Linked DNA regions of Rattus norvegicus. The protein of the gene in region 4 purifies or fractionates together with the protein of the main gene of each other region. This does not show direct contact. Links are inferred from orthologs where the notes say so. Each region holds a gene or a part of one and is shown on either strand. Other genes may lie near its edges.

Region 1 (8,442 bases), on a different chromosome or scaffold from region 4:
TTAAGGGTTGGCGTTTTTATTAAATGTAAAGACAGCGCTTGTCAAAAACAGGCTGTCAACCCACCAAACATCATCTAGACAAGTGCAAGGGAAAATACAGTCCTTCCGTGGTGCAGCTGCGGTCCATGTGCTCAACAGCAGCATCTGGGTAGAAACCACCTCACTGAGCAGTGACGTGGAGAACATATCTACCATCATAGGACTATTTAAAATCACGGTACGACACAAAAGCCTAAATTCATTAATAGCAATATAAGTTCAACTGACCTCTTGGCTTGCTTACTACCTAACAGGAAGATAAGGTAAATTTAGAAATGAGGAATAAACCACATGACAATGAAGGTTTTAAGAGTAGAAAGGTGGTTATATATGGTTAATTTAGCATTGAAAATGAAATACCTAAAGAAAATAATTTAGCCCTGCCCCCATTTTTAGATGATGATATGAATCTAGAAAATGGTACAGGAATGATAATCTTCCTTATTTAAGATAGTCAGTAGATCCAAATAGAGTTACCATTGGAAGTAATAAAGTGTGTTATCATTAATAAACTGAAACAAAGAACTGGCTATTCTTTGTCCTGCAGCTGACTTTCTGCTGGGTACTCAAAAAGAATGCTCAGCAGGACTCTTAGGTCAGAGGCTCTGATTCTAGCCTAAGTTCAGATGCCACTCCTTGATTAACTACGATGCAACCTTTAACCAGTTACACATCATTTCTTTATCCACTTTTGAAAATGGGGCAACATTAGAACCATTCCATAGGGTTTGAAAAGGTATGCATGGCAATGTGTGCAAAGCACCCAGAGAAAGACACACACTAGTTCTCCAAAACGTCAAGAAGTTTGCATTTGGGGTTGGGGATTTAGCTCAGTGGTAGAGCGCTTGCCTAGGAAGCGCAAGGCCCTGGGTTCGGTCCCCAGCTCTGGAAAAAAAAAAAAAAAAAAAAAAAAAAAAGAAGAACCAAGAAGTTTGCATTTGCTGAACTTAATCTACTGATGACTTTCTCTGATCAGTTTCTACCTATTCTCAAGGTCTCTTTTTCCTTTTCTTTTGAGACAAGGTCTCATGATGTCACTATTGCTGACCTCAACTTTATATTGAGTAGGCTAGCCTTGAACTCAGAAGCCTTGAACAGCCTTCTTCTGCCTCTCCAGTGTTGGGATTAAAGGTGTGTGCCACCTCATCTAGTCCAAGCTCCAAGGTCATTTCCAAAAACCATCATAAAACCACTGGGCTACAGAATAGCTTTCCTACTTCTGCTCATGGGAGAATTAACACCCAACAGTGGTTACCCCTGGACCTGGACACGCTTACCATGTGTAATATGTAGATCACTGACAGCCTGGAGATGTAAAATATGTTTTAAAAGAACAAAAACATTTCCCTGATTAAAAGAAAAGCATGGGGCTCTGTGGGTTTCTTTTTTTCCCTCTTTTGTATTAATAAGGCTATGTGAGCAACATATTTAACTGGGAAATAAGGTACTCTTGAAACATCTCTGAGACTTGTAGCCTCTTGTTTCTAAAAGTTTAAGGTTCTGTGTATTAAATGATGTTTAAATAAGTATACTCAAATTTTGGAAGACATTGTTTCAAGAGTAATTTTTAAAACACATAGGAGACTTATATAAAGCCAAAAGTTGTTCTTTGAAACACCCCCATTCTCTGAGGAATTCAAATTAACTTATCTCTAGAAACTGTGGAGATCAGAATGGAATCCTTTAATTTTGTGGGTGTAGGAGCAAGGCCCTGGATGATCAAAGCTAAAAAATTAAAAAAAAAAAAAAAAAAAAAAAAAAAAGTCAAGCCAAACCAAATCAAACTAAAACAACACTGATAAAACAATCCCCAAACAAAAACAACCCCTAAACAAACAAAACAAAAAACAAGGAGCTACCAGAGCCTCGCATTTATCTTTATCCCCAACTTCATTCTTTGGGAGTATTTTTAGAATTAAACTCTAGAATTACCTGTCTGTGGGAGGCTTCTTCCTCATCAAACTGCAGATCTTACCTTCATATCTTTAATTAGCTCTTCAAATCAAAAACTTCCCTGCTGATAATTTCTGGTGTTCTAATTTTACTCCCAGTGTCAGCACTTACAGTCTACCTTTCACCTGATACTACATAGTAAAACCTTAGGATTTTGTCCACAGGGTCTACCGGGAAACCCAAAGTGGGTAGTAACTACTCTGAAAGAGGACAGACTAATTACTTAGTGACGTGGGATGCAGTGCAAGCATCAGTGCTGTTCTTCACTCTCTCATTAAGAACACGATCTCAACCCTTGCTTCTTCAGGGCTGGCGCTTGCTTGGGTCTTGAGATAGGATGAGTGCAGACTGAACTCTTAAGATCATACATATATCTACAAGTGTATTCTGTGTATCAAGAGAAATTTAAATAATTACATTTAAAACATGAGCCACAAATTTTCAAGAATAATTCATTTGAAAATATACAGAACATTTAGGCACACAATGGTAAGACATGTTTTGTCGTGAAGTTTTATGAAATTATACCACTTCTTTACTACAGAAGAACACCAGCACATCAGCTAACATTTCTCCAAATGGAGGCATGAGAGCTGATCCACAAATGCCTCATATGATTTCCCATGAGACATCTGCTACCTTCTTTCCACACTTCAGAATATTTTGCAAATTATTCTAAAGATCTTCAGTTTCTATAAATAAACTCACACACGACTTTGTCGTAGTTACCAGTTTAAATTCACATCATCTGGGGGAACTGGTTGGAAACATAATAGCAGAAATGTATAGACTACTGGAGAGTGGATTATCATTAAAAACACAAGAACTGTAAAGGCAGCTCTTGCTAAGAACATTCCTGGACTGATCCAACTATCAGGTTCATTTTCATAACTCACTCAGCATAGACTGGACAAGAGAAATAGGGGAAGGGTAATGTTAAGTGGATATAAAATTTTGTCATACTTCATTTTTTGTGAGTCTGTACGATTAGTTACTACATTTGCACAATTAATAAAGATAATACGGAAGTCCTAATTCTACATTGGCTTTTCAAATTGGCACATGCTCACCTACAGTTTGCACTACTGTCCATATAACTGTCCGGGAACAAACCATATTAATGAAACAACCCGCTAAATCTGACTTTGTGGTTTACATTCCACAAAAGCAATAGCTGGACCGTCTGTCGATTCAATTCTGCTGTATTCATGAGGATCAAAAGCTGTTTGTTTCAAGCTAATTACAGGATTAGCTGTATTCTTCTGCTATAAACACAGACATAACGGAAGATATTTTTTACAGAAACACGAACAAATTGTCAGACTTACTTCAAGGGCTGAGATGTCATTTACAATGTAACAAAAGACAAGTACTGTTCGTTAATTATTCTGAATTAGAAATTATGATATGAACCGTATAATGGCACACGATTTTTTCACAACCTGTTACACTACACGTGTATATGTGTGTGTTTACATATGAAACCGTGCTACTACACTTCCACGACTCTTGAAATTTTGTATAAAGTACTGAATGTCTGCACTTTGAGCTCTCAGAAGAAAGCACTTCAGCTCTGAAATACCTTTAAGTTTTACAGGCATCCTGGTGCATTCCTGGATGTCTAGAGTAAAAACAAAGCTGTCTCACTTTTTTTTTTCCCCTCGAATGGATAAAGTTGCTGCTTGTGTTTATGCTGCCATCCCTAATGTGGGTGAAGGAAAGAGCCTTAGACACTGAGGGTTAACGTCACCTTTGGAGACCCACACCCGGCACTCACCTTGTGATGAGATTGATATATAGATCCATGAGAAGTAACAAAAGAGCCAACTCAACCCAAACGCACTACCTGTAGCTCCCCTAAAAGAGGAGTTAGGGTGTTGGGGGCTCTGGGAAAAGGGAGAAGAGCTAAGGGTGCGATCACAAAAGGGACTTCTTTTAAGGACCATATTTGGGGAAGCTTTCCAGACCGTGGCAGCCCTCCTCGCTCTAGTAAAACAGGGGATCACAGGGACCGCGCGGCCCGCCTTCCCTCCAGCAAGCCCGGGAGCTCGGCCCTCACCCCCGAGCCTTAGTGGGGGAGGGGACAGAGGAGGCGGCTGGCCCCCGGGGCCCCTGGAATTGTTAGCTGCGGCCGCCGCGAGGCCTGGTCCGTGGCTCGCGGCCTTGGGGGACTCCGGCCCGGGGTGCTGCACCGCAGCCTATCCGGCGGGAACCCAGCCAGGGCCTTCAACTGGACTCACCGCTCTCCACTTCGCTGCCTTTCTTGGCGATCGCCGTGTTCCCCATGACCCGGGAGTCCGTAAGCAGGAGTGACGGAGGGGAGGGGACCGGGGCCGTCCCGCCGCCCCGCAGTCTGCAGCAACTCCTGCTTTTGTTTGACTCCCACAGACCCTGGAGCGCAGCGTCCGGGTGCACAGAGCGGCTGGGTGTCTAGAAGAGATGCTGCGAGCTCCCGGGCAGAAACCGGGACTGTGGCGGTGGCGGCGGCGCGCAGACACTCCCCCTTCCCGAGCCCGCCCTCCAGGCGCGTCCCCGACACTGCGCGTCCCCAGTAAACGCACACCCAAAGTGCGACCTCCGCCTCTTTCCGGGCGGGCGCGCCGGAAGTGACGTACGCAAGCGCCCCCCCCCCCCCGGTTGGACAGGAACCCCTCTGTGTAGCGCTGAAGTGGTAAATAATTGTTCTCCAGAGTGGATGCTGAGCTTGACCTCGGAGGCTAATCTCGAGGTTGCGAGGGACATGGAAACCGTTAGCTTGGAAGCACCCCAAATCCTTCCTCGGGGTGGTATCCGGTGCGGTAGAGCCAGACGCGGGGCACAGTGCCAGGGCTCGGCTTGCTCCCACATCCGTGCTGCGCGCGTTCCGCATACAAAGGTTGCTCACTCGGTGGCTAGAGGAATGTGCGTGCGCTCCTCCGCGTCCTGCGGACCCTGCTGATCCTTAGGTCAGCCTTGGCCAGGAACGCTGGCCAGCTGCCACTGGAACTTCTTTCCTTCGCTCTAATAGGTATTCTTCCAACACACTAGGTCTATCGCCAACTTTCTGGACAGGTTATTCCTTCCCGAGTTCGCTTTCCTTGGTCTCACCTAATCACCCTCTTCTGTCAGACTTTCTAAGGAGAGATGCGGGAATGTATTACTGTTTTTACACAAGTACGTTATGTGCATCATCAGAGTCACAAATTTCATGTGTAAATTTCAAAATAAATACATTCCCAATTGATTGTTGCGTTTTTATGCATCTTAGAGAACTTAAGTTTTCTGTAAGGTTATTAGATATTTAATCACCTAGCTCTCTAGTAGTTTTTGTACTGTATTCTTTTGAGCTTTGCTATCTAAGCAAGAATTCCAGACTTATAACAGAAAGATTAACTTCTGGAAGGTCAGAGACCATGTAAATTAATATCTGCAGCTCAAACTAAAATTGGGGTATAATGAACGGATGTCTGTTGACTGGAAAGTAAGTTAAGGAGATTTTTCTTAGAACGTTTTTAAAGTTTTGTTACTGGGGGGAAAAGCAGCGGTGACTGGAAGATTCTAAACAAAGTCATGTTTCTATTTCTTATTGGCAATTATGTTAAAGCCAAGCGTGCACACCAAGTATACTGCATTCTAAGTGTTGTACAAATAGTAAGTAATTTCCTCATAAAGTCTCTATGAAAATGTAGCGTTACTATCATTGTATTACTTAAGGTCCAGCGGGGGCACAGAGACATTAAAGGACTTACCTAAGTCGCACAGATATTACCTAATTAGAAGAATTTGAAATGAAGAAGGTAAATCCATACCATCTGGAAAAAATGCCAGAATGGTATATTTATTATTTTGGTTTTAAATGAATTGAGAAATTATAACTTAAGAATAGACCATTGTTTAGAGAAGATGTCGTTTACATACCAAGGTCAGAAAATAACTTTAATCACTCGATACTACTGATTGGGGCCACCACCAACTGGAATAAACTGTGATATAACTTTCAAACATACACACACACATACATATACATATATACATACATGTACATATGTATATCTTCAGACCATGCCAGAAACTTAGTGCGGTATCATCGACATATATATTTGTCCAATTAGTCCTTTCCAAATGTTTTATTTGTCCAAGGAAGTATGAAAATACTTTATCAGTCACTTCTTCAGATTTTACTTTTTGTGAAGATCTTCATGTCTTATAAAATTAATAATTTACCTGTTTCTCTGGCTAATCAGCTCTGATTTTTTTTTTTTTTTTTGGATTCCTACATCCAACCAAAGAACCCACACAAAAACTGAAGGGGGATAGTGTGATGCTTTGAATAGGTATGGCCCCCATAGACTCATGTGTTTGAGTGCTTGGCCACAGAGAATGTCTCTATTAGGAGGTGTGGCCTTGTTGGAGGAAGTGTGTCCTTGTGGGGTGGGCTTTGAGGTCTCTTGTGCTCGAGCTAAGGTCAGTGACACAGTCCCTCCTTGGCGACTGTGAATCAAAATGTAGAATTCTCAGCTCTATCACCAGGTCTGCCTGCAAGCTTCCATGCTTCCCACCATGATGACAATGGACTAAACCTCTGAAACTGTAAGCCAGCCCCAATTAAATGTTGTCCTTTGTAAGAGTTGCCTTGGTCAGGGTGTCTCAGCAATAAAACCCTAACTAAGACAAACAGAGAGAAGTGTTCTGTCCTCTGATAAGCAGCTGGGCTCCAAAATGTAAGCTCAGTCTTCATGTGGGTCCTCCAGCAACCAGAGATGGGGCAGTCCCTAAAGCTCTTGCCTGTTTGTGGATCCCATTCCCCTAACTGAGATGCCTTGTCTGGCCTCAGTGGGTGAGGATGTACCCTGCAGAGACTTGATGTGCCAGGGTGGAGGATACCCAGGGGGTACACAACCTCTGAGAGGTGAAGGGGAGAGGGTAGATAGAGGAACTGTATGAGGGGAGATTGTGATGGGGGGGCAGCAATTGGGATGTAAAATGAATAAATTAATGGGGAAAAGTGTGGCTTTTGTTCATACTGTAAGACATCTGTGTTGTGGTAAATCAAATTCCCTCCATATAAAATCCCAGTGACTTGGCAAGATAGAGAATTAGTTTAGTCCTTGAGAATGTTGACTATATTGTTCCCTGAGTTTCATTAACTACAAATAGAATAGCAACAGTAAGGAAGCAAGGAGAGCAGACATGGAGGCCCATACCGTTAATCCCAGACTAAGGAAGCATAGACGGGTGCTACACAGTGAGTTCCAGGACATCCAGGGTTACACAGATCCTGTCTCAAAGAGAGATGTGGATGGGTTGGGGAGAAAGCAAGTAGATCACAGGATGTGAGGTTTATGTCGGCACCCAGTGATATCACACCCCTCCCAGTTTTAGCTTTGTGAATGCAATGTTTCGTATACTTTAAAAGTCCACTAACAAACCACATACACTCCAAATTTCATCGACTTTGTCTGAGAAGGACCTTCCTAGACCCCCTAGAATACTCTTGCTGCCCCCCTAACAGTGACTTTTTACGTGTATGCAGGCCTGAGCACTAGCTGAAATGATAAGTGTACATGATTTTTCTCTTCCCTTGACCCTATTTTCAGTCATGAGTCATCTCTAGTAAGAGAGAAGTCTCCATTTACCGTCCATTTGGAAGGAGGCGATCGGCACCTCTTAGAAAGGTGGGCACTTAAGAGGTGGCTCATCAGGTAAAGCTCTTGGCAAGCCAGGTTGTTTCTGTTTCTACAACCCTCTTAAAGGACAGAGGGGATGCTAGCCACCAGGGAAGGAGGAGAGATGGAATCTCGAGAACAAGTTCACTAGCCAGGCTAGGTCAGGCCAGTGTAGAACTAAGAACTCCAGGTTCAGCAAGCCGTGCTGCCTCAAAGGCTGACAAAGATGAAGAGAGACTCCTAACATCACTGCGGAGCCTGCACATGCTCACACGTGTGTGCTTCCACTCACAGGTGTGTCCACGTTGTGTAAACACGCATACACACATTCGTAAGAGGAAGTTGTGCATACTCTTACAACATCCTGATGGTGAGTAATTTTTTAAAACGCCATCTCTCTTTCCTCTGTCCATTTTGAGAGGAAAGTAAATTATTTGTTTACAACACAGAAAATAAGACCCACATGAATTTCTTGTCTTTTTTTATACTATCATTATGGCTTGTTTATACTGCTTATTTAGTAAGCATGAGTTACTAAATAGATGTCTGTCCTATTATTAGAGACCTGTGGTTGAAAATAATCTTAAAAGAAAGCACCAGATAATTCATAGCTGCTTTTGTACTTCATACTAGTCACTAGACACGCATGCGCGCGCGCACACGCACACACAGACACACACACACACACATATGGTTTTATCGGGGTGATTGGAGTATTTTAGGTAATAATGCTTTAAAAGTACAATATGGTTATTGATTAGTTAATATTAATGATCACTTATAATTGCATGCATGCTGCTTTTGA
Region 2 (7,642 bases), on a different chromosome or scaffold from region 4:
GCGGCAGCACCCGGTGAAGCTCGTGAAGCTCCTCGGGATAACCTGGCTGGGTCCTTGCAGTGTACGCGGCGTGTGGTGCCCAGGGGAAGTGTGCTGCCTAAGGGACTGGAACTCTTGACTGTAACATTACGGTGGCCTGGAGGGACCAAAGGGTCTGCGGAAGCCGCGACGTTACCTTTCCCAACCTAAATTTCAGCATCTTTTTGCACTTAGACTTCATTTCTCGAGCTATATGCTTTTTTTTTTTTTTGGTTCATTTTTTTGGAGCTGGGGACCGAACCCAGGGCCTTGCGCTTCCTAGGTAAGCGCTCTACCACTGAGCTAAATCCCCAGCCCCGAGCTATATGCTTTTAATCTCCTGGGAGGCCTTGACTCTGTACCGAAATTTATCTACAAGAGGTAGTTGAAACATATGGAATGGGGTTCGAAGTGGGCATAGGAGTGGTTATTGGCTTCTGGCCGCTAAGGAAGGGATCTTGAGAGGCAGCAGAGTAACAAGATCCCTAGAACTGGACTTAGCAGAGAGGCCTGAGGTGTGATGAACACGTGTGCTTGGATATCTTCAGGGACAGCACAGCGCTCCTTCTTTAGGATCCTAGATCCGCATCTTCCACTCTGAGGTTTTCCCACCAGATAACCTGTCACAACCCTGTTTTATTTCTTGGGTTAGGAAACTTCATGGTGACTCCCACTTTCTTCTACCTTCCAATAACTTTACAGACGCAGTTAAGAGTATTTGCAGCCTCCCTGGTTTCTAAGTAGCAATTATGTATGGCGGTACTCGCTGAGTACCTGTCTACACATTTAAGGGACTATGTTAGAGTGGTGGATTTGGGATATTCTGGAAAGGGAGATAACCATTCATTTTGTCAAAATGAAGTCTTTTGACAGCCTGGGGCTGTGCCACTCTGTCTAACGATGTTCTAAGCTCCAGGAACACAAATGAGAAGAATGGGATTCCCCCTTATGTTTACAGGGGTGTAGTAGGGGAATGGGGATGGCTTCCTAGGTCAGGTGGAGGCTAGGGTATTGAGTGTTTAGTTACATGGAATCAACCCTAACGTTTATGTTGCCATTTTTCAGTTTTGTGGCATATCTGCCTGCACTCTTGAGTCTTCTCAGTTATGTGGCGGCTGGGCCAGTAGGGTAGACACTGTAACATAATGCTGTATCCTCTAAATTTGGTTCATTTCCCCAATTCTTTTGCTTTGGTCAGCTCAGCCAGGTAAAGTGTGGTGGTTTGCGTGCATTTGGGGGCTGAGGCAGTTCTTGAAGGATGGAGTTGTGCTAGGTTACATTTACATTCCCTAATTGTAAGTTAACACTTCTGAAAAGAGAAATCCCTTCAGACTTTTTGGGTATTATCAGAACCCTCGTTTTCTTGATGGTAAGATAGAATCTTGACACATGATCTTTTCGCAGGTTATGGGGCATGGAGTGCTGGACCTGCCAACACCCAGGGTAAGTGGCTCCTGTTTAATGGGTTTAATTGGGGTTTTCTCCACTGCATGCCCTTTTGTAGTAGAGCCCAGCATCTGCCTTCACTGGAGTATGTTTGTCTTTTTTCTTTATCTTAAGGAAAAATAGTTTATTGAGTGCTACAAGGGAGCAGAGGCTGATTAGTAAATAGAAAACTCCCTGTATCACTCTACTACCCTACCACCATTTTTAAAATCTGAGAGGGGCTGGAGAGATGGCTCAGCGGTTAAGAGCACCCGACTGCTCTTCCAGAGGTCATGAGTTCAATTCCCAGCAACCACATGGTGGCTCACAACCATCTGTAAAGAGATCCGATTCCCTCTTCTGGTGTATCTGAAGACAGCTACAGTGTACTTACATAGAATAAATCTTTAAAATCTGAGAGGAACTCTGAAAGGATTGTGTATTTAACATACAAGAGGCCCCAATTTTCTAGTCCCAGGTCACACCCTAGCACCATTGGAGGCCAGCCACTCTTTTTTTTGTGTATCATTGAGGTCCCATGAGGAGGTCTCCTCAATACCTGTGCCACATAATGTGCTCTTGTTCGGTTGAAAATGTGATTTTTTTTTCCCCCACTGATGCCCTAGGTATGATCGGGAATAACTAGGTTTGGGCTCCTGATGAGAACTGAGCTTATGTAGGGGATCTTTCTAAGGTCCAGGCCAGACTGTCCTCTCAGTTGATACTCAGTTGATCACCGTCCTAGGGACTACTGTACCTTTCTTTCCTGGGAGAAGTCAGGCTTGCCCCAAGAGAGAAATATCAATGGTGCTTTGTACCCATTCTGTCTTCTGGTGCAGTGAGGCAGCAGCTGTCCTTAGGTAACTCTGGTGCAGTGAAGTGCTTATGTGTTTTTGTTTTTTTCCTCAAGGTACATATGGAAGTGGTGTGGCCAGCTGGCAAGGTAAGACCTTTGGAAAGGGATCTTGAGGTGGGCAAGTGAGTCAAGTACAGGTCCTATCCCTCCATCCTGGCTGTGCCCAAAATCTCTGTTGATAGCATGGGGAATAGAGGCTGCTGGGCACTGGGCCTCGAGTCATGCCCAAGCTAGGCTGACCTGAAGGTGACTTGAACTTGTTCCTGAGGGATCGTGGATAGAGTGCAGGAACAGTTTTCAAATGTCTTTGTCAGTCTGGATTGCTATTCCGAGGCACTTAGCCTCCTCTGGCTTTGATTAGGAAACAAGTCCTTCTGTCTTTAAAAGAAAAACTGCTGGGCTGGAGAGGTGGCTCAGAGGTTAAGAGCACTGACTGCTCTTCCATAGGTCCTGAGTTCAATTCCCAGCAACCACATGGTGGCTCACAACCATCCTTCTTCCCGTGTGTCTGAAGACAGCTACAGTGTATTCATATAAATAAAATAAATCTTTAAAAAAAAAAGAAAAAGAAAAACTGCTACTACAACCTGTGGCCAGCTGTTTCTCTGGTCTTGATCATTTGCGTATTGTGGTATGATGTTGGTGATGCTTGGTTCCTGCTTGGTGGCAGAGAGTGCTTCTGCAGACAAGAATGTCATGGCTAGCCTCATGTGCTGAGGCCTAACCCAGTTCCTCTTTCTTCTGATAGGTTATGAAAACTACAGCTACTACAATGCCCAGAACACCAGTGTCCCTACAGGAACACCCTATAGTTATGGCCCAGCCTCGTGGGAGGCCACCAAGGCCAGTGATGGTGGCCTGGCAGCTGGGAGTTCTGCTATGCATGTGGCCTCTTTTGCCCCAGAGCCATGCACCGACAACTCTGACTCGCTCATTGCCAAGATCAATCAACGTTTGGACATGTTGTCCAAGGAAGGAGGCAGGGGTGGGATCAGCAGCGGTGGGGAGGGCATGCAGGACCGAGACAGGTGATTATGGCCTTCAACCTTTCCTGGTAGAATCCCTTTCTAGAATCATGAAAATGGGTACCAAGCCTTAGCCCTCTTTTCCTGTTCCTGTTTTAGGCAGGAGCTAGACCCTGTTGGGAGGATTCCTAAACTGTTGGCCAATTAAGTTAACCGAAGATTCTTTCTTCTGGCAGGGGCTTCATGCTCTTCTCTGTTAGCAATGTTTAAATGAGTGTTCTGAGGCCAATTTGCTTTCTGGGCATTTAGGTAGATACTGGGTGGATTGGTTTCTTGTTCTGAATGTAAGGGGGTCAGCTCAGTGTAAAGTTAGCAGAGGGCAGACTGTTGGGTAGCCTGGGTGCCGTAGGCTGCTCCTGATGGGTTGTCTACTTCCTTTGCAGCTCCTTCCGCTTCCAGCCATATGAGTCCTACGACTCCAGGCCCTGTATGCCTGAGCATACTCCCTACCGCCCCAGCTACAGTTACGATTATGACTTTGACTTGGGAACTGACCGCAATGGTAGTTTTGGCGGGACATTCAACGACTGTCGGGACCCAACCCCAGAGCGAGGCGCCCTTGATGGTTTCTTAAGGGGCCGGGGCCAGGGCCGCTTCCAGGACCGGAGCAACTCGAGCACCTTCATACGTAGTGACCCCTTCATGCCACCCTCAGCCTCCTCAGAGCCCTTATCCACCACCTGGAGTGAGCTGAACTACATGGGTGGACGTGGTCTAGGTGGGCCCTCCACCAACAGGCCGCCTCCTTCCCTCTTCTCCCAGTCCATGGCCCCTGACTACAGCATGATGGGCATGCAGGGGGTGGGCGGTTTTGGTGGCACCATGCCTTATGGATGTGGCCGGTCCCAGACTCGGATACGGGATTGGGTAAGTTTACCAAGTTCTGTCAGGCCTGTTGCCTTTTCTTCCTAAAACTTAGTTGAGGTGAAAGTTGTGTACCTTTGTCTACTGTAAGATGCCCCTATTTCCCAGGGAACAGTCCCACTTTCAGTGAGTTTACGCCACTTGGTTTTAGATGTCTCCCTCAATTCATCCCTTCTCTGTCCCTGGGTTGGCCTGTTGTAGAATATTTCACAGCAATGGAGTTGTACATGTGGTTCTGTGTGTCTGGCTCCCTCTCAAGCTTTTGACTTCTGTTATAGTCTCTTGCTTTTTTGAAGGCTTTTTCCTGCCTTTGTTTTCTGTCCTTAAAAATGCTGGGGCATCTTATAGGCCCAGGTACATGACATGTGTTTGTGTCTGTAGCCCAGAAGGAGGGGGTTTGAACGCTTTGGACCAGACAACATGGGCAGGAAGCGGAAGCCGTTTCCATTGTATGAAGAACCTGATGCCAAGCTGGCCCGTGCTGACAGTGAAGGAGACCTCTCTGAAAACGGTATGCTCTGGGGATCAGAGTCAGTTGCCCGCTCTGGAATGAGGTGGCGTTGTTGGCTCACACTGCCTTAGCTGAGCCCTGTTGCTAGTCTAGTCCCTGAGCTTGGGAATGTGAAAGCGCTCTGAGACCCATCCACCTAGGGACTGACACTTCTGTTGCCTGTGTCTGGCAGATGATGGAGCTGGTGACTTACGGTCAGGAGATGAAGAATTTAGGGGGGTAAGTTCACCTTCACAGACTGTTGATTTGGCCTTGTTTTCTTCTGTCTTTTTTTTCCTCACAGAGGTGAAAATAGCTGTTTTTGCTGAAATCAAGCATATATCTTTTGTGTGTGGCCTGTAACAACTGTTTCTTGTGTTTGCTTGTCTTTAATTCTAGTTTCTGTTCCCCAACCTCCTGGCCTCTTCCCTAGATCCATTGCTCCTATTCCCTTCTGAAAAGAGCAGGTCTCCCAGGAAGATCATCCACTGTCCTCTTTCATTTCCCTTGCCTTACAGTGCTGAGTCTTAACCTTCAGCCTTCTAATTGTGGGGCTCTGCAGGGTGCTACTCACCTTGTCTAGCCTCTTGACCTGATACCCAATCACTGGGGAGTGTCAGCAGAGGCCAGTCTTGGGCCACACCACCTTGCTGAGGAATGCACAAGGTGTTTGTTAGAAAGTTTGCTCTGGGTACTTCTGATGGTCGGGTGGAGAGCCAAGCGAGGATGGGCGACAGCTTTCTTCTTATGGCCAGCAGGTGGTAGAATCCAAGGCTTAAACCATGTTTCCCAAGTGCTCCACCCACCTACCACCAATAACTGAGGTTTTTCTAAGACTCTTTCTTGCTCCCCATTCAGGTGACGTAGCCTTAAGGCTGGGGGTCTCTGTACATCTCTTAGACCTGCCCAGGGAACTGACTCTGCCTAGATAACCCTAGGATCTGTATTTACACTAATTTGTTAGAGTGCTAAATATATCCTAAGAAGCTTGGGGAAGCCTGTTTACAATCAGTGCTAGTTAGAATACCCCAGACTGGGTGTTTCCCCTGCCGGTGGATAAGCCTTTCTGTGGTGTAGAACTACATGGGCTACGTTTGCCACTGGGCAGGTTCTGTCACTTTGGAGAGAACAGAGTTGGTCACTGTAGGAAAGGAAATACCTTTGTGGTCTTCTAATAGCAGTGAATTATAACGGGGCACTTGAGCTCTCCTCTTTGACTCTTGAGGTTTCCTGCTGCTCATTTCCCACACCACAGCAGGCCGAGGTCTGGTAAGACCACATCCTAGGTATGGCCTGGGCTGGTTAGAGAGACTTCTGGACCCCACCCCACAGCCTGACACTGTATGTGCCCTTTTTCAGGAGGACGACCTCTGTGACTCCCGGAAGCAGAGAGGTAGGTGTCACCCAGCATCTTTTGTAGCCTTTATCTGACCCACACTCACCGCCCAGCTCCCGGCCAGCTTCTGAGCAAAACAGACTTGTCATGGAGACGCCATGGTTGATGGCAGAGGAACTGCAGCCGTCAGTGGACCCACACTGTGGGAGCCATCCCCAAAGCGTGGTTCCAGTGTCTGGGGCAAGGTTTGCCTGAAAGGAGGAGCTCCTTTGCCTCAGATCTAGATACAAGTTGTAGGAGGTAGAAACCCATCTCTGGGTATCTGTGATACCCATGTTCGGAAAAAAGGTTTCAGAAGTCTGAAGAGAAAGAGGCCTCTTTTCTATTCCCGTATTCTGGCCCATCTTTATTCCCACCAGGGGTATTTTTGTTATTTTGTTTTGTTTTTGTTTTTTTGGTTTGGTTTTGTTTTTTTGTTTTTGTTTTTTTGTTTTTCTCTCTCTCTCTGTTGTGAGCTTCAATTTGTACCCTGGCCTCTGCAAGAAATATTGGCATCTTCAGTACCTGTGCACAGAGAGCAAATACCTACTATGGTTGATCTTGAGGTCGTGGGAGGATAGCCTGTAAGGTGTACTCAGGCCCATATCTAAAGGCAAGAGACCTAAGAGCCCAACAAAGGTTATACCCAAGGGTGAGAACCAGCCTGAGCAGCAAGGCCTTAGGCTCACCCAGCAGCCACTTGTCATTTTCCCTATGGTGTAGACCTGTTCTAGCTGGTTCCTCTCAAGATTCACAGGCTAGCCCATATCCCTTAGTGTCAGAAGGCGTATGGCTCCTCTAAGGTTCTCAGGTTATCGAACCCTCAGGTGTCCCTCATCCTACACATTAAAGTTTTGTCCACAGCGCGGACCACTCCCCAACCCCCAGCATTGAGCAGCTCACGCAGCCGGGTAAATGCTAAAGCAAAGGTGACATGTTTGTTGCGCACAGGTCCTGCTACCCAACCGGGATGACTTTGCTATTAAACAGCAGTCATAGTTTCAGGCAGTGACCTCTTGCCAAAAGTCCCACACGTCCTTTTGAGAGGCTTCTGAGCAGCGCACGCCGGTCGCCATCTTCGTGGGACAGTCTCGGGACTGGCATCAGGGGTAGGGGTTACAGTTCAGATGCTTATCCAACCTTTTTTCAGCATCCAGCCCTGGCCCTGACCCTGGGGCTCTGGCTGGTCTCATGCTGAGATGCTGGCCACAGGGCTCTCCTGGGAGCTATGCCAGCCCCAGGGAATGGACGGGAGGACCATTCGGTCTCTTCCCATTTTTGTGTCTAGGATTATTTCCCACTCCGCCTTGGGAGAGTCCAAGGTTGTTGGTTTTGTGAGTGGAAGATAGAGATCGGGCCAGCAAGGACTGTCAGACCTGCTGAGTCCCCAGTTGAGGTGAAGCCAACAGGACAGTCACCGCACCCCACCTGGAGGTGGGATGGAGGGTGGCAGTGCAGCTTGCTGTTCCCTGAGGCTTCCCAGCTGCTGCCTGTGTGGGGATATTTGCAGCTCTCTGAGTGATGTGGGAGAAGAGCCAACAACAAAGTACTGTAGTGGACACGCAGCCTAGGACAGAACAGAGTAGTAG
Region 3 (7,642 bases), on a different chromosome or scaffold from region 4:
AAAGCTGAGTACCCAGTGCATAGTTTTAAATGATCTCAAAGCATCCAGCTGATTTGGTTAGACAAAAATCTGATGGAAGGCAAGTTACAATCTCTACCATATTGCACCGTAATATCTATGAGGCTTAGAAACAGATGCCCAAGAATTCTTCTAACTGTGAGGTTCTTTCTACAGGGACTTCAAATCAACTGCCCTGTTGGCAGAGACGACGCTGCCTGAGTTAACGAAGGGGCTTTGTCTCCCATACCTTTATTTTCTTTGGAAATAAATCTGAAGTTTCGCCTTCTTCTCGCCCTTCTGTTGCTGTATCAAATCCCTGGCTTTGACCCCAGTCAGATTCTGAATCTAAAATTAAGAAAATGACCACCTGTAATTACATGTTTACATACAAAATAACACTTTTTAAATAAACACTATTTCATTTGTTTAAACATTCCAGAATTTTATTCGACTTACCACTGGAGTATACTTCTCTACTTTGATAAGCAACAGAATCTGCCAAATCAGAAATGGAGGATCCCTAATTAAAGAAGACAAAATCAGAATATACAAGACTTTAAAATTTATTTACTAAAATATTGGACCTAATGAATAATTCATCTAGTTTCTGATATGGCTAAGGGAGAAATAAAGACATCAATTTAATCTGTCATACTGAAATGATGCACAAATAACAAGTCTAATTTCCTCCTCACAGATGTTGCCATAGGAAGGAACACTTATGAGTTACAAAATCACAATAGGCTCCAAACCATACGGAAATTCATTATCTAACTATACAGAAAGATGCCACATTATGATTGTATTATGAAAAGAGGTATTATTCCTTGGATCCTTTTGAAATGTTTCTCTTAAAAGCTTATACTGTTGGAAGGCAAATGGCAGGACATAAAGAGTATATTCTATAAAGCCCACACACCTTTTTGCATCTCAGGTACTGGGTCATATCCTTCAGGGTCTCACACTCCTTAGTCAGTAACTGGATCGCAACAGAATGTTCTTTCTTCAAAGACTCGGTTTCTAAGATGTGTCTGGATTCCATATCCAAAATCTCAGCAGCATGGAGCTCTTGTATGCGCTCCATCTTTTCAGTAAACTGGTTGATGGTGTCTCTGAGTTCTTCTTGGGAGCGCTCGCTCTGTAAGTCGATCTGAACCCCAGCATGTCTAACAAGGATCTGCGGGGTCTGATTGCTGCTGCTGACCTTGCCCGTCCTCTCCATGGTCCCAGAGCCGCCACCTCCCTCAACAGAAGGTGACTCTGGTATGGGGACCCTTCTGCTTTCCTGTTCCCCAGTCCCATTCTCTTTTTCTAAGTAGTGGGATAATTTCTCCTTGGCCTCTGTGAGTTGATCTTTAACTTGGCCTAGGTCTTTCTGAAGTGATGTTATGTAGCTCTCTTTTACCTAAAACATGGTGAACAGAAGAGCAGAGAAATCGGTTAAGTCTTGTGTGGTTAGAAGCAGGCCTCAGGGTGGACACAGAGAGCACAGTTCATCGTCAGTGCTGATTTGCAGCGGGAAAGGAAAATCACAGTTAACTGGGGTGCTCCACAGTTATTGCACCCTTTTTTACACACTGCGGCCAGGTTACAGAGAAGTAAATTACGTCATCAGCCTCTGTTCTCATGGTGACTTTTAGTATTGTTTAACAAAAGCCTTACTTCTCCGTCACCTAGTACAGGTAAGAAGCATCTTCCCAACCATTACTCCCAGAAAAACAAAACGATAAGTTGCTGGTAAAGAAATGTAACCATGGAATTTTCTTTAAATCTAGAAAAGGCTTTCCCTAGCACTGAAGTTGAAGATCTAGACCTAGGGAACGCACTGAGAGGAAATGAGGTAAAAATGAATGAATTGGGAGCCATGTTGCTCATCTTACCAAAAGATCTTCTTCAAGTTTTTCTGCCCTTTCTTTGTAACTGGCGAGTTCTGAAGTGGCTGACTCAGCTTCAAAAGTTTCAAGGCCACCTGAAAATCCACTGCCTCCACCAGCATGAGTTAGCTGAGCAGTTCTCTGAGTGAGAGTTGAGGAGAATATTAGCACTGAGGAACCACAGTGATGTCCAAAGCACACCTACACTGCTTTACCAAGAATGGCTGCCTACAATCAGAGGACAAAATGGCTGAAGCTTGGTAAAATCAGCGCGGACTTTTGTTCAGAGCCATCACTCTACATGAAGATAATCAGAGCAATTTTCTGAGAATGAAGGTGAATAATGTCATTAGTATATGTATTAAAACACTTGGTTGCCATCCAAAACTTTCTAATTTGTTCCAGACATGACCAAGACACTCCTTACATGTCACAGGCAGGTCTTACCCATCTTATTTATTACTCACAGTAAAGTAGTTCCCAGTCTTGTTACTGAAATTATTGCCCTTTGCAATATAAACTAAGTCCTTGTATTGTCTTCTGTACAATAATAAATAAACACAGTTTTAGATCGTTGCCTAAGAAGACTTACAGATCTCTAATACAAGTTTTTCCCCCATGAACAACAAAATCTCAACAGGTATAGAATTTGTGAGAGCTAATGACTTTTTCCACATTAAATCAGTATATTAATAATGTGAAAATTTTCACTTCTTAAAAGGCATGATGTCAGAGCACATGTTTAGGAAGAAATTAAGGGAGAAAACCCACAGAAGTCTGGGAGAACAGAGCTAAAAGTAAATAATTTTATATTTCTATTTCAATAAATGACTTTAATGGAACAGATGTCATATTGGAAGACTACAGAATATAGTTTGCACTTGTTACTCTGGTGATAAAAATTAGTGTTAACTTTAACTGTGTCTACAGCTTTTTGCCCTAGTTTAAGGAAACTGCATTGAATACAGTATATAAGCAAATTAAAAACCTACCATAGCTAAGCCTAACAGCAAAATCTCCAGGCCAACTCTGAGCAGCTGTGCTTCAGGAAACTAGAGACCATCAACCAAAGATCATCCCCAAAGCCTTAGGCATAATCATTCAGGTAGCACTCTACTTCACTTGGGAGTTCTGTCTGTATATAATCCTATATACAGACAGGAAGTCTCTGAGTCAGTGCTAAACGATTCACAAACCACTATTCAAATAAAGTAATGCCTCTTCTTTAAGAACAGTATACTTTCATGAAATCTCATTATATATAAGTCGTTTGATGTAAACCAAACTCCAGATTTATCAGTAAACTATCACTGAACGAAGGAAAAGAATTACCTAGAGCATTTGAGTGAAAATAAACCATCATACTGAAAACTAACCTCTCTATCCCTAGGGCTTTGTTCTCTTTCTTCTTTCAGCCTTTTCTTGGCCTCTTCTAATAGCTTCTGTAGCGCCACAACTTCCTTTTCTGTCTCTGAGGCATTCTTCCCCACAGTTTCCATGTGTTTTTCTGACATTATATCACTAAGCACTTCAGCTACACGGCTCTCCAACTCTGCTGGTCTCACAGCCAGTGTGGGGACATGTGACTCCAAGTTGTTTTCTGCCAGACAATTTACATTCTGTGTATCTGTCCTTTCAGGTGCTGACGAGACCGTCTGCGTTTGCTTTTCTTGGTAGAGCTGCACACGGTCCTGAGCTGCCTCCATTTGGACCCAACTGACCAATGCAGCCGAGAACTTCTCCAGGATCTTCTGCAGGTTTGTGATCTTCTTCTGAAGCATTCCTATTTCAGACTGGTCTTGCTCTTGTATGGTGTCTATTTGTTTATGACACTGGGCAAGCTCGAAGTCCTTGGTGCTACCAGACCCCTGCAGTGGTAGTGACTTTATTTCTAGTATTTGAGAAGCTTTAGTGCTTTCTTGAAGACACATAAGGGAGGTCTGACTTTCTAGGGGCTGGGAAGCATCCTGGGCAGAGGCACCTTCTGGCTGCAGTTTGTCACAGCCAAGCTCATGCACAGTCACGTGGACACTTTCCTTAGGGACATTGGGAAGTTCTTTATTCAAGTTGCACAGTGCTTGTGTCATGTGATCCATTTTGAAGTTGATTTCTTTAAGTACATTTTTCAAGTCTGTCAGTTCCTGGTTGGTGGTCTCTACTTGCTTTTCTAAACCCAGCTTTTCAACAGTCACCCTGTCCAACTGGTGTTTAAAGCTCTCCTCGTCTTCTGGGAGGGCCCTGGCACCCTCTCTCTTCTGCTCAGTGCTGACTAACTCCTGCTGCAATTTCTCAATCACGCCATTGAGTTGCTCTGCTTCCTCTGCTCTCTGTTTCTTCATAAGTTCTTGTTCACTCATCAAACATTCAATCTGGGTTTCTAAATCTCGTATCTGGTCCTTTTGTTCTTCAATGACCTATTATTTAATGAAAAAGGATGCATACAAAATAAATGTATATTATATTCTGGAAATTCTATTTTAAGAAGTGACCTAGCAGAAATGAGTAGTTCCTAAACCAACATACTGTCTCTGACGCAGAGTGCTATTTCCAATACAGACCAGCAAGATAACCTCCTCTTATTTAGAACTTCATTCTGGGAGTTCTGTTAAACTTGAGCTCAAACCTGAGCAGTTCATTTCCCGTTTGGAAAATAGTATAAGTGCGTCCTCTTGAACAGAATGAAAGAGGACACACAACCAACGACTTTCAAGCACACCCAATAACACACACTTGAACTTCGTTAGCAAGCGCCTTCCCCAGCTGAGCCATGGTATGTTTTTAAAATTGGATGGGAGAGGGCGAGTGAGTGAGAAGGCTCAGTGACTAGGTGTGCTTATTCTGTAAGCATGAGAAGTGAATTCAAACCCCCAGCATACACATAAAAAGCTGGGCAGGACTGTGTGGGCCTGTAAGCCAGCTCTGAGAACCGGAGACAGGCAGATGTCAAGAGCTCACTGGTCAACCAGACTAAATGGAGAGCCTGTGTCACGGCAGTGAGGCAGAGAGAAGCAACAGAACATGCCTGATGCCCTGCTCTGGCCACTGTGTGCACAGGCACGGGCACACGTGTCTGCACACTCAGGTGCACACACCCTATCCCGAGGGAAATTCAAGAGGGAAGTGAGAATTATCACTATTTCGTGTTTTACATTTTAGTTCAAGCCTCTGACGTAGTGGGTCAGTGTTAAGACAGAGAGATGCAGCTCCCAGGCAGGGTCAAGTAAGGACTGGTGACAGGAGCAAGTGGGGGCTGGAATGCCGCCCTTGAGAAGAAAATGTTTTTCTCACTTGGCCTTAAACTATGTTCTGCTGTGTCCTGTTTCTGTGAAAGCGGTTCTCACGCTCTCTTGGTAATGGCGAGTATACTTTGATAATAAGAGGGGTGATATGTTATGTGAATATTTTGAGAAGAAACCTTTGTTTAGTCGTATTTCTTTGTTTAGTCTTGCCTCAGTTGTTCCTGGTATCGTGGGAATAATGATTTTATGGTATCTTGCCAAAATAAAAATTATAGTAACACATATTCATATCTATATAAGGATTAATAAAGCTTGCAACTGCGTGCAGTTGCTTCTGCCTTTGCTCTGCACGCCCTGTGTCCTGGTTGTGTGCGACCGTACCCAGGGCCTCCAATGCACTAGACGTTGACAGGTCAGGATGTTGCCTGTCAAACAGGCGAGGTGAGTCTCACTTCTGGGGTTCACCCGGTTTAAGGAGAAATTACACCCACAAGCTGTTCACTACCTCTGAAACATTGCAGGGTAAGTGCAAACTCACTCCCTTCTCCAAAATAGGTAAGTGTAACAAAAATTGAAAAACTATAACTCCTATTAATTTTGACAAATAAATTTAAAGTGGACACACCTTGTTATCTGTTGTGAGTTTAAGCTGCTGCTGGAGTTTTATAAACTGCTCATTTAATCGGTCAATTTCAATCTCCTTTTCTTGTATTAGCTGCGCAAATTTGCCAAACAGCATGGGCTGATCCTGAGTCGACAGAGAATCAGATTCCTTCATGGTGAACCCGAGTTTTTCTATTTCCTCCTAGGGACGAAAATAATTCTCATAATTGTATGACATTACATGTTTCAAAACATACCTTGAATTACGTCTTAGAAAACAGATGGCATGCACATAATAAATTAAAATAAGATACTTCAATATTTAAAATATATTGATAAATGATCTCAAATATTTTCATTATGATAAATTCAAGTATCTAGGTTAGGCAGCAAATAACTCCCATGCAAATTCATTTGCCTACTAATAACTAATATTGTTGGTAGCAAATATGTTGGGGGTTGGTCTGGTGCTATGTGTACAAATGCTGAAGTCTGACACCCCAAGATCTGACTGCTGTCTGGATAAGTGAATTCACATGTACACTGGCCTTTGTTGTGTAACCCTTGATCCCCAGTTTAATTCCTGACTAGCCAATAAATGGTTGGGGCTTATGACTGGCAGAAAGGATAGGAAGGTAGGCCTGAGAATGCAGTAGGGGATCTCGAGAAAGACCATGAGTAGAAAGAGGGTGAATAAGGGCAGGAGGTCACTGTTACACGGGGTAACAGGAGCATTCGCACACGACAAGTGCACCTGGGGACAGACTGATGACGCAGAACAGCCCTGTTGAGACTCAGACAGCGAGCGACAAGGGGCGTAGGGCTGAGATGTGAGACTAGCATAAAGCCTGTCCAATCTAGGACTAAAGCCCGTAAAAGAAATACCAGGTTTCTGTGCCTATTCTGCAGGCTGCTAGGATAACCCATTACACAAATAACTGACAAAAATACAAAGTATCAAAATGTGAATTATTCTTCTAAACCAATTACCTTAAATAATCTGTTTTCTTGCTGGAGCTCTTGCAGGCGGGTAGTGGACTCCTTTTTCTGAATTTCTAGCTGCATGAGAAGCTCCTGAACCTCTTCATTCTTATTTTCCAGTTCTTCCCGAAACTGCTCTAATTGTTCTTCTAAGTTGGTGATCTTTAAAACCAAAATTATCCGAGGGGGAACAAAAACAAAAAACAAAACCAGTTCATACAGATGTCACTGTCAAACAGAAAGGAGATCTATTTTACAAAGCATGCACTGGCATTTACATGTGCTTACACATTCAAGTCATGTTTACTGCTTCATGCCTAAACATGCTCAAGCTGAATGTCTCTGGTTTCTGGTCTTTTTGAGAGATAAGGTTTCTCTATGTAGCCCCGGCCATCCAGGAACTTGCTATGTTTGAGGCTAGCCTGCCTCTGCCTCCTTCAGTTTTAGAAATAAAGACCTATGTCACCATACCTGGCTTCAAACTACAGAAAAGATTTCTTTTTATTATTTTGATTATATGTATATGGGTTGACCGAGGATAGTAATAACCATTTAACCAACTACTTCACAACTACTTAACAGGTGTTTAATGAATGGATACGCAAAAGCCTGTTTGAATGATCAAAACCGCTACAATGCAAGCAACTTAAGATGCGGAAGCAGCACTGGTGGCAGCTGAGTTGTGGCCTTACAACCTACAGGGTAATCTGTTGTTTACGCATGGCATCATAGAATTAGCATCCCAGTACTCACAAGCAAGGCTTTGAGGTCAGCCTAGCAAGTCCAATAAAAATAGTATAATACTAGCAATAATAGTCAAATTTGCAGCTGGGATGATAGCTCAGATGACCACATATGAGGGCCTGATTTATCCCCATCACTCTGTGTAAAAAGCTAAGTGTGGTGGTGTGAGCTTGGAATTGTAGCACTGAGGAGTTGGAGACA
Region 4 (7,642 bases):
GGATTACATAATCTACTCTTCATATAAGTAATATAAGGAAATAATAAAGTAAAAATAACAAGTTAAAGTGGAAATTATTTAAAAATATAATGGTCTATGAAATAGTCTGCCTTCTGGCTTGACATAGGGCTGTGGACACGAGAGAAGTAGCTGCGTCCGGGCCGGCACAGCTGACGTAGGTGCCCAGAGAATGGTAGCACCGACTCTGTGGCCATGGTGCTGGTCACCACTTGCCTGGAGTTAAGGATCCTCCTCTCGGTCCTGGCCTGACATCAGGCCAGTGACCCATGAAGAAGATGCCCCTGGGCTTCATTTGGTCACTTTACAAGCTCAGTCTCTCTTGGAGCTTCTGTCTTATGTCCAGAAATGGACTTCAGGACGATTCAGAGGCAAAACTTTTGCACTGCCTGCTGAGGATAGACAAGGAGAACAGTGTTGTCATGGAGTTCTGCCCTGGGTTCTACATCCCTGCTTAAATGAGTCATTGCCCTCAGTCAGAGGACACTTCCTGGTAAGCATGACCAAAAGTGACACTCATTCCTTTTCCCACTTGAACTTGAGGGCTCTTTGCCCCCTTGTGTACTTACTGCCTCTTCACTGCTCTGTGGGCCACCCCTCAAGATTAGGTGGGCATTTGAGGTAGGGGCTTGTTTGTTTGTTTTAACGCTGTTCACAGTCACAAGAGCTGGCCTTGCACGGCATAAAATAAAAGTTCTGGGAAGTATAAAATCATGCAGACAGAGGATCAGACTTGGCTGGGAGAGATGCCCAGTGGTGGAGTACAAGGAAGCCCTGAATTCAGTCCCCAACTCTGCATAAAACCAGGCATGGGAGCACATTTTCTGGTTATGTGGTGAATTCAAGAGCAGCCTGGCTTACATGAGAACTTGTCAAATGAAATTAAATAAATGGATGGATGGATGGATGGATGGATGGATGGATGGATGGATGGATGGATGGATGGGACAAGAACCCCAATATGTAAGTCACTGAAGAAAGTCTCCATTCTTTTTTGTTGTTGTTGTTAAAGAAGGTTAACCCTTTTTTTTAAAAGTATTTTATGTCTGTGAGTACAGTGTAGCTGTCTTCAGACACATCAGAAGAAGGCATTGGCATAGGGGGTAGCCTTCTTTTACTCTGTAGCTTTGGCTGACCTCAAACTCACAGAGATCTCAAACTCACAGAGATCTGTCTGCTTCTGGCCCCTAAGTGCTGGGATTAAATGCATGTACCGTGGTACCCAGCAACAGTACTTGAATCTTTTTTTTTTTTTTTAGATTTCTTTATTATTATATATAAGTACACTATAACTGTCCTCAGACACACCAGAAGAGGGGATCGCATCCCATTACAGATGGTTGTGAGCCACCATGTAGTTTCTAGGAATTGACCTCAGGACCTCTGGGAGAGCAGCCAGTGCTCTTCACCACTGGGCCAACTCCAGCCCATGTGATAAGTTCTTCACCTCAGAATCAGAAATCAATGCAGATGATGTAACCCGTGAGAGCAGTAAAGACTCAGTAGCTCCTGTCAAGCAAGCAGATGGTGAAGAAAACGGAGACCAACTTAACTCAGTGCCAGTGCTGTAAAATAGTGAGTGCACTGTAGTTTAGAGCAGAGGAGGAGGAGCCCACAGTCGCCCGTACTGGGCATGTAAGTGACTTCTCTGATTAAGTAGGTGAATCATGGCATGAGACAGGGCTGGGAATTCTGGGCTGATGGAGGTACAAACCGTATTGCCTCTGTGCGGTCTCCACCATGCTCCTGCCTGTCTTCAGAGACGCGAGGAAGCTGCAGCTCTGCTCTCTGTACTGCGTCTTCAGCCTTTGTGTTTAGGATGTCATTGCCGTGTGCAAAACATTCATCTCTGACAGCCAGAGGTAGAAGAAAAATACTGCTAACTTAGATCCAATGCCAAATCCGTTTTAGTTTCTAGTGTTGCTTAATTAGGCCTCCTGCTGCTGAGTCCTCTGTCTGTTGAGTGTCTGAGATCACAGGCTTACACTGCCATGCCCTGGAGTCCACCTGGAAATGTTTGCCTCTGTACTTTGTACATTTCTGTTCGAATGCTATCTTGAGCTTTTAAAATTCCTTTATATTCCCTCCAGCATACAGCAATTGCAAAAATCCTTCTCTACTTTATACTTTGTTCTCTTTTTGTTTCTGTTAGAGATGGTTATTCAGGCAGGCCAAGAATTCTCTTGTAGCCTAGAGCAATCTTGGATGTATGGTTTTCCTGTCTCAGCTACTAAGTGTTGATTAAGGCTATGGGTCCTGTGTATCTTGTGTTGTCTTTTCTTTATAGTCACAGACTCTTGATGGGCATTATTTGCCTTTTCTGGAGGTATCTTTTGGTACTGTCTAATACCTATGAGCACCCGGGTATTTAATGGGAGTTTTGTTTTGTGATCTATTTACGCCCCACGGCGGCACTCATTGAGCACAGCAGCACACTACAGTTTGGAGACTTGTGCCTAGCTCAAGTCTGAGGGGTTTTTCTTCCAGCATCATTAAACCCTGTTGATTAGGGACTTCCAGCTCTCTAGCAGTGGTTCAGCTACTTAAACCATAGATGTTCTCTTCACAGACATATAGTAGACTTGCCCTGTGTTTTCCTGTAGGACCGGGTGACTTTTAGGAGAATCATAGTGAAGAACAATGCAAAGAAGAGGAAGATGTTCGAATCGTTTATTGAGTCTGTACCGCTCTTTAAATCACTAGAGGTAAGGCTTACGAGAGTCTGTGTATGTGGTTCATGAAAAGCTGTTAAAACTGCTCTTAGGTCTTCAAATAATACTGTTCTGATCTAGTTGTAACAGTGACAGTCAATCAAGGTTTTATCCTCATACTGTAACTATATCCGTTACTTAGATGTCAGAACGAATGAAGATTGTGGATGTGATCGGGGAAAAGATCTATAAGGATGGAGAGCGAATAATCACTCAGGTGAGTTGGGGGCTCACACAGCTCCTTTTCTGGAAGTCCCCATCACAATGAACAGTGTGACCTGCTTGCGGACTGAGTATGGTAACGCACATCTGTCATGCCAGCATTTAGGAGAAGTAAGCTGGGTGGTGGTGGCACATGCCATTAACCAAGCACTCAGGAGGCAGAGGCAGGCCAGTCTCTGAGTTTAAGGCCAACCTGGTCTACCCTGTCTTAAAAAATAAAACAGAAAAAAAAAAAAAAAGAATGGGGGTGGGGGTGGGGCTCTGAGTTTGAGGCCATCCTGCTCTACATACCAAGTTCCAGATCACCCAGAGCTGTTTAGAGATCCTGTCTCAAAAAAGGAAAAAAAAGGAAGGAAGGAAAGAAAAAAAGAAGAAAAAAAATCACTGGAAGCTCATGTTGTCCCTTCTATAGAGACCTCTGAATGCTGTTCACTGAGGCCCATCTCCCTGAGACGTTAGTTGAAGTACCAGGGACTGAACTCACATGCTGAGCAAAGGCTTCTGCCACTGAGCTGGGTCCTTGGTCCTTTTTGTTTGTTTCGAGACAGCGTGATCAAGTCGTCCTAAACATGGAAGCCTTCGAAGTCTCTGCGATTGCACCATGTGCTGCTAGGCTCGGACTGCATTCATTTAGGGGTGGGCTTCTGCCGTTTGTTCTAGTGGATCTAATTTTCTTTTGACCCTGAGTAAACTTTATTAGTCTGTACTAGACAGCTGGGGCTTACGCTCCCTTAGCCCTGTGCTGACACGGGAATCCTCAGCATCCAGTGACTCCTTGATATAGAGACCCTTTGTGTCTTTCTCATGTTATTTTTAATAATGTTAGATCCCACACAGTAAACTGGACCATTATACTTAAAGAAGACTGCAAACTGGGCATAGCAGTGTATGCCTAAAATCCCAACACTTAGGTAGAGGCAAGTGGGTCGGGAGTTCAGGACCACTCTCAGCTACATAACAACTTTTGGCTCTCCTGTTCTACATGTAATATCTTTTAGAAATATTTCCTCTGTCTACTGTGTTTGTATTTTAATTACATGTAAGTAGTTTTAGAAACTTTTCCAGATATAAACTTACCTGCCCATGGATCTGACAAGACCACTGGGGAAGGAGTCTGGCTGAGTCCAGGTGGACAGTGTATAGGGCCTTGTTCACCCAGCTGTGGTGAAGAGGATGGTTTCAGGTCAGGGTGGATCCCAGGCCTATGTGCTTGAGTCCCATTCATAGAGCTGGCCCCACCCAAGCCTTGAGAACTAGTCAGACTTACAGTGAAGGGAGAGGAGAGCCCACTACAGCACTGACAGAAGTACCCTGTTCATCCCAGTTCCAGCTCTGAATGGCTCTGCTTGCTAGGTGAAGACTGGGGTAAACAAGACTCAGTAAGGCCCACTGTGATGTGTGATGATGCACATGTGCAAAGTGAGAGTGTAGAATAGAGGTAACTAATCCGTGTTACTCTGGAAAGGAAACTGCAAGTGCTTGTTTTTTACAGGTTTATACAAAACTTAATTTCTTCCTTGAATATGCAGAGTACAAATATGATGAAATGTCCGTGTTTACTTTATGAAGTAAAAAAATCTGCTCACATTTATATTATAAATTTATTAAGGCAATGAACTGTATAGAAAAAGCCCTCATTTGTTCTGCTTAAAGCATTGCATAAGCCATTCTGCACATTAAACATTGCACTCCAGTGCATGACATGCTGTCTGCATAGCATGCTGGCCAGTGAGGCTGCGGGTGTATGCTGGCCATCCCTAGGGGGCTTCTATCTTTCATCTCAAGTTATTCTGCCCACAGTTTCAGGGGATACCAGCTCATCATGGAGGCAGGAACAAGTCAGGCCGTGGTAATCAGAAAGAGAGTGAATGAAAAACAGGGGAATGTCTCTCTTAGTGACAGAGTGAGGCCCCGTGTTCCAAAGGTTCAGTAACTTCCCAGGAAAGTGTCTCCAGATGGGGACAAGAGGTCAAATACATGGACCTTTGGGAGACATTTTGCATTCACACTGTGACACAAAAGTCTTTCGGGTTTTTGACAGGATCTAACTGCATAGCCTAGGCTAGCTTCAGACTCACAGCAGTGTTTCTGCTTTAGCTGGCTGCGTGCTGTGGTTATAGCCATGAGCCGTCATTCCATGCTGGAACTGGTGATTCACTCAAGCGAATCAGCCTCAAATGGTGTCTCTCTGTTTGGGGTTTGAAGTGGTGGGTCAAGCAAAAGACTGACGCTTGGCAGGGCGGACTCTTACTGAAGACAAAGTCCACACCAAGCTGGGCATGTGGGAGTGCACTTGGGAGGCAGAGGAAGGGGTGCTGATGAAAGTGAGGCTAACCTGGAGACAATGCATGCCAGGCCAGCCAGAACCACGTAGGCAGACCTGTCTCAGAACAAAGCACCAACCAGTAGCATGTGACTGCCGTTGTTCTCCGTGGTTTGACCCAGAGCTAACTGTGAGGGTGAGAAAGTGGAACAAGCCGAAAGCTTTGTCTCCTGTCTGCTTGCCTGAGTCTCTCTTCCTTCCAGCTTTTGCTCAGATTTCGCCTTTCCCTAAAGCTGTGTTGTCCACAGTAGCCTGTCCATCTACCGCCAGTTGAGAGCCTGTGGTCCCTGTCCTGTTCTTGTCCTGTAGCACTTGCCACCCTCCCACACAGCTGTATAACTTATTATTAATGTTCTGTATTATCATATTTCTTGGTATTAGTTTTATGTACATAGTACGTCATTTGTTGAATTACCTGAATGGCTTGTTCAGCTAGGTAGTTTAGTAGTAAACCAAGAAAAAGAAGGCCTACAGCTTAGAAAGGCAGCGTTAGAGCTTGTGCTCGAAGGTACAGCCATCTGCATCCATGCTGACCTCTTCCTGTGTATGGGGGAGGTGGTGGTGGGGGTCAAGGACAACCTTCCAATGTCATTGCTTGTGCTCAGTCCATTTTAAAAGAAAGAAGAAAAAAAACCACACATAAACTAAAACAAAAACTAAAAAGCAAGGTCTCGCTTGGTGTGGTGACACACACACTTTAATCCCGCACTCAGAGGACAGAGGCAGGTAGAACTCCAGGCCAGCCTGGGCTCTACAAAGCAAGTTCCAAGACAGCCAGCCATGGCTACACAGAGAAACCTATGGGGAGAAGGGTACAAAAAAACCAAAACAACCAAGGCCTCTTACTGGCCTGCAGCTTTCTAAAGTTGGGCTGGCTGGCTAGGAAGCCCCCAGGGATTTGCCATATCTGTCCCCGAAGCACTGAGATTACACTTGTGCATTACCACACTTAGCTCCTCCCACCCCAAACTTTGGCTCTGAGGACTGACCCTCAGGTCACTGTGCTTGACTTACAATGCTTTCTCCCTTTTTCTTCTTGAGGACTGTGTTTGTTGATCAAGATTGTTCTAGGCCTCATACTCTGGGCCTTACTTTGACACTATGTGCAGTATTCTTGTATACTGGTCCCTAGAATGGGCTTCAGCACACCGACAGACAGGCAGAGCAGGGATGCTGTGAGGTTGGTGGCCTGGTCATATTCCTGGAGGTAAATATGAGTGCATAAGACAGAGGAGAAGTGGGCTGGGGATTTAGCTCAGTGGTAGAGCGCTTACCTAGGAAGCGCAAGGCCCTGGGTTCGGTCCCCAGCTCCGAAAAAAAGAACCAAAATAAAAAAAGACAGAGGAGAAGTGTTAGTCATAATGGGGCCAGTGTCCTTACTGACCAGGAACCTCTGGTTCATTACAAGTCTGTTAGCCATTGACCCACTTGAGCAGTTGGAGACAGAGCTCTGAGGCCGACAGCGCTCACAGTGTTTGGTGTTCGGTGTCTTTGACCTTGCCTCCTCTTTTTCAGGGTGAAAAGGCCGACAGCTTTTATATTATAGAGTCTGGAGAAGTGAGCATCTTGATTAGAAGCAAGGTGAGTTTGGGCGCACTGTGCACGTGTCCTCGCGCCAGTGTTTACTTTGTTCAGCGTGGCCTGTACTTTAAAAGTTCCAAGCCATTGTCCCCAGAGCTCCCATGGACTAAACCACCAAGCAGAGGCACACATGGAGGGACCCATGGCTCCAGCCACAGAGGATGTAGCAGAGGATGGTATTGTCTGGCATCAGTAGGAGGAGAGCTCTTGGTCCTGTGAAGGCTCGATGCCCCTGTGTAGGCAAATGCCAGGGCAGGGAGGTGGGAGTGGGTGGGTAGGAGGGGGGCATCCTCATAGAAGCAGAGGGAGGGGAGATGCGGGGGGGGGGGGGGCAGACCTGGATAGCATTTGAAATGTAAATACATAAACTATCCGATTTAAAAAAAACAACGGGGGTTGGGAATTTAGCTCAGTGGTAGAGCACTTGCCTAGCAAGTGCAAGGCCCTGGGTTTGGTCCCCAGCTGGGGGGGGGGGGGGGAGACGTTTAAAAAACAACAACAACAAAAGATTTAGTACATTTTCTCTTTTCCCGATTTTGCCTCTCTCATATAATTAGTGAAATGAGGATTACTAAGCTATAAATAAGAAAACTATAAAAACTATAAATACAGGAGCATTATGTAACAGGTACATACAAGGTTGGATGTGAAGACGGCATCCACAGTTTAGGACTCCTGGGGAAAGTCTCCATTATGTTACTCGCATGGCTCTCATGGATAGACAGAGGTTGTAATTGATGACCTGTAGCTCGGAAGAATGCTGGATGGCCGCTATCTTTTTTCTTTA

What was found.
Region 1: the proteins of Prkar2a (region 4) and Prkacb purify together in Homo sapiens (affinity purification with mass spectrometry; 6 studies listed by BioGRID and IntAct, counting the BioPlex papers as one, with this or other methods). This does not show direct contact. The link is inferred for Rattus norvegicus from reciprocal best matches to the Homo sapiens genes PRKAR2A and PRKACB.
Region 2: the proteins of Prkar2a (region 4) and Akap8 purify together in Homo sapiens (affinity purification with western blotting; 3 studies listed by BioGRID and IntAct, with this or other methods). This does not show direct contact. The link is inferred for Rattus norvegicus from reciprocal best matches to the Homo sapiens genes PRKAR2A and AKAP8.
Region 3: the proteins of Prkar2a (region 4) and Akap9 purify together in Homo sapiens (affinity purification with western blotting; 3 studies listed by BioGRID, with this or other methods). This does not show direct contact. The link is inferred for Rattus norvegicus from reciprocal best matches to the Homo sapiens genes PRKAR2A and AKAP9.

The regions. Positions count from the first base shown.
Region 1 is NC_086020.1:238,381,984-238,390,425, forward strand, and holds the start of Prkacb (cAMP-dependent protein kinase catalytic subunit beta), read right to left. Parts: upstream 4,279-8,442; coding exon 4,233-4,278; intron 1-4,232. UniProt on the Homo sapiens protein: Mediates cAMP-dependent signaling triggered by receptor binding to GPCRs.
Region 2 is NC_086025.1:11,974,689-11,982,330, reverse strand, and holds part of Akap8 (A-kinase anchor protein 8), read left to right. Parts: intron 1-1,422; coding exon 1,423-1,461; intron 1,462-2,353; coding exon 2,354-2,386; intron 2,387-3,047; coding exon 3,048-3,327; intron 3,328-3,707; coding exon 3,708-4,191; intron 4,192-4,569; coding exon 4,570-4,699; intron 4,700-4,871; coding exon 4,872-4,918; intron 4,919-6,037; coding exon 6,038-6,071; intron 6,072-7,004; coding exon of another isoform or gene 7,005-7,027; exon of another isoform or gene 7,028-7,163; intron 7,164-7,642. UniProt on the Homo sapiens protein: Anchoring protein that mediates the subcellular compartmentation of cAMP-dependent protein kinase (PKA type II).
Region 3 is NC_086022.1:31,040,040-31,047,681, forward strand, and holds part of Akap9 (A-kinase anchor protein 9), read right to left. Parts: intron 6,860-7,642; coding exon 6,707-6,859; intron 5,919-6,706; coding exon 5,739-5,918; intron 4,289-5,738; coding exon 3,251-4,288; intron 2,016-3,250; coding exon of another isoform or gene 1,881-2,015; intron 1,406-1,880; coding exon 920-1,405; intron 521-919; coding exon 457-520; intron 346-456; coding exon 248-345; intron 1-247. UniProt on the Homo sapiens protein: Scaffolding protein that assembles several protein kinases and phosphatases on the centrosome and Golgi apparatus. Required to maintain the integrity of the Golgi apparatus. Required for microtubule nucleation at the cis-side of the Golgi apparatus.
Region 4 is NC_086026.1:118,321,485-118,329,126, forward strand, and holds part of Prkar2a (cAMP-dependent protein kinase type II-alpha regulatory subunit), read left to right. Parts: intron 1-2,621; coding exon 2,622-2,723; intron 2,724-2,871; coding exon 2,872-2,946; intron 2,947-6,789; coding exon 6,790-6,855; intron 6,856-7,642. UniProt on the Homo sapiens protein: Regulatory subunit of the cAMP-dependent protein kinases involved in cAMP signaling in cells. Type II regulatory chains mediate membrane association by binding to anchoring proteins, including the MAP2 kinase.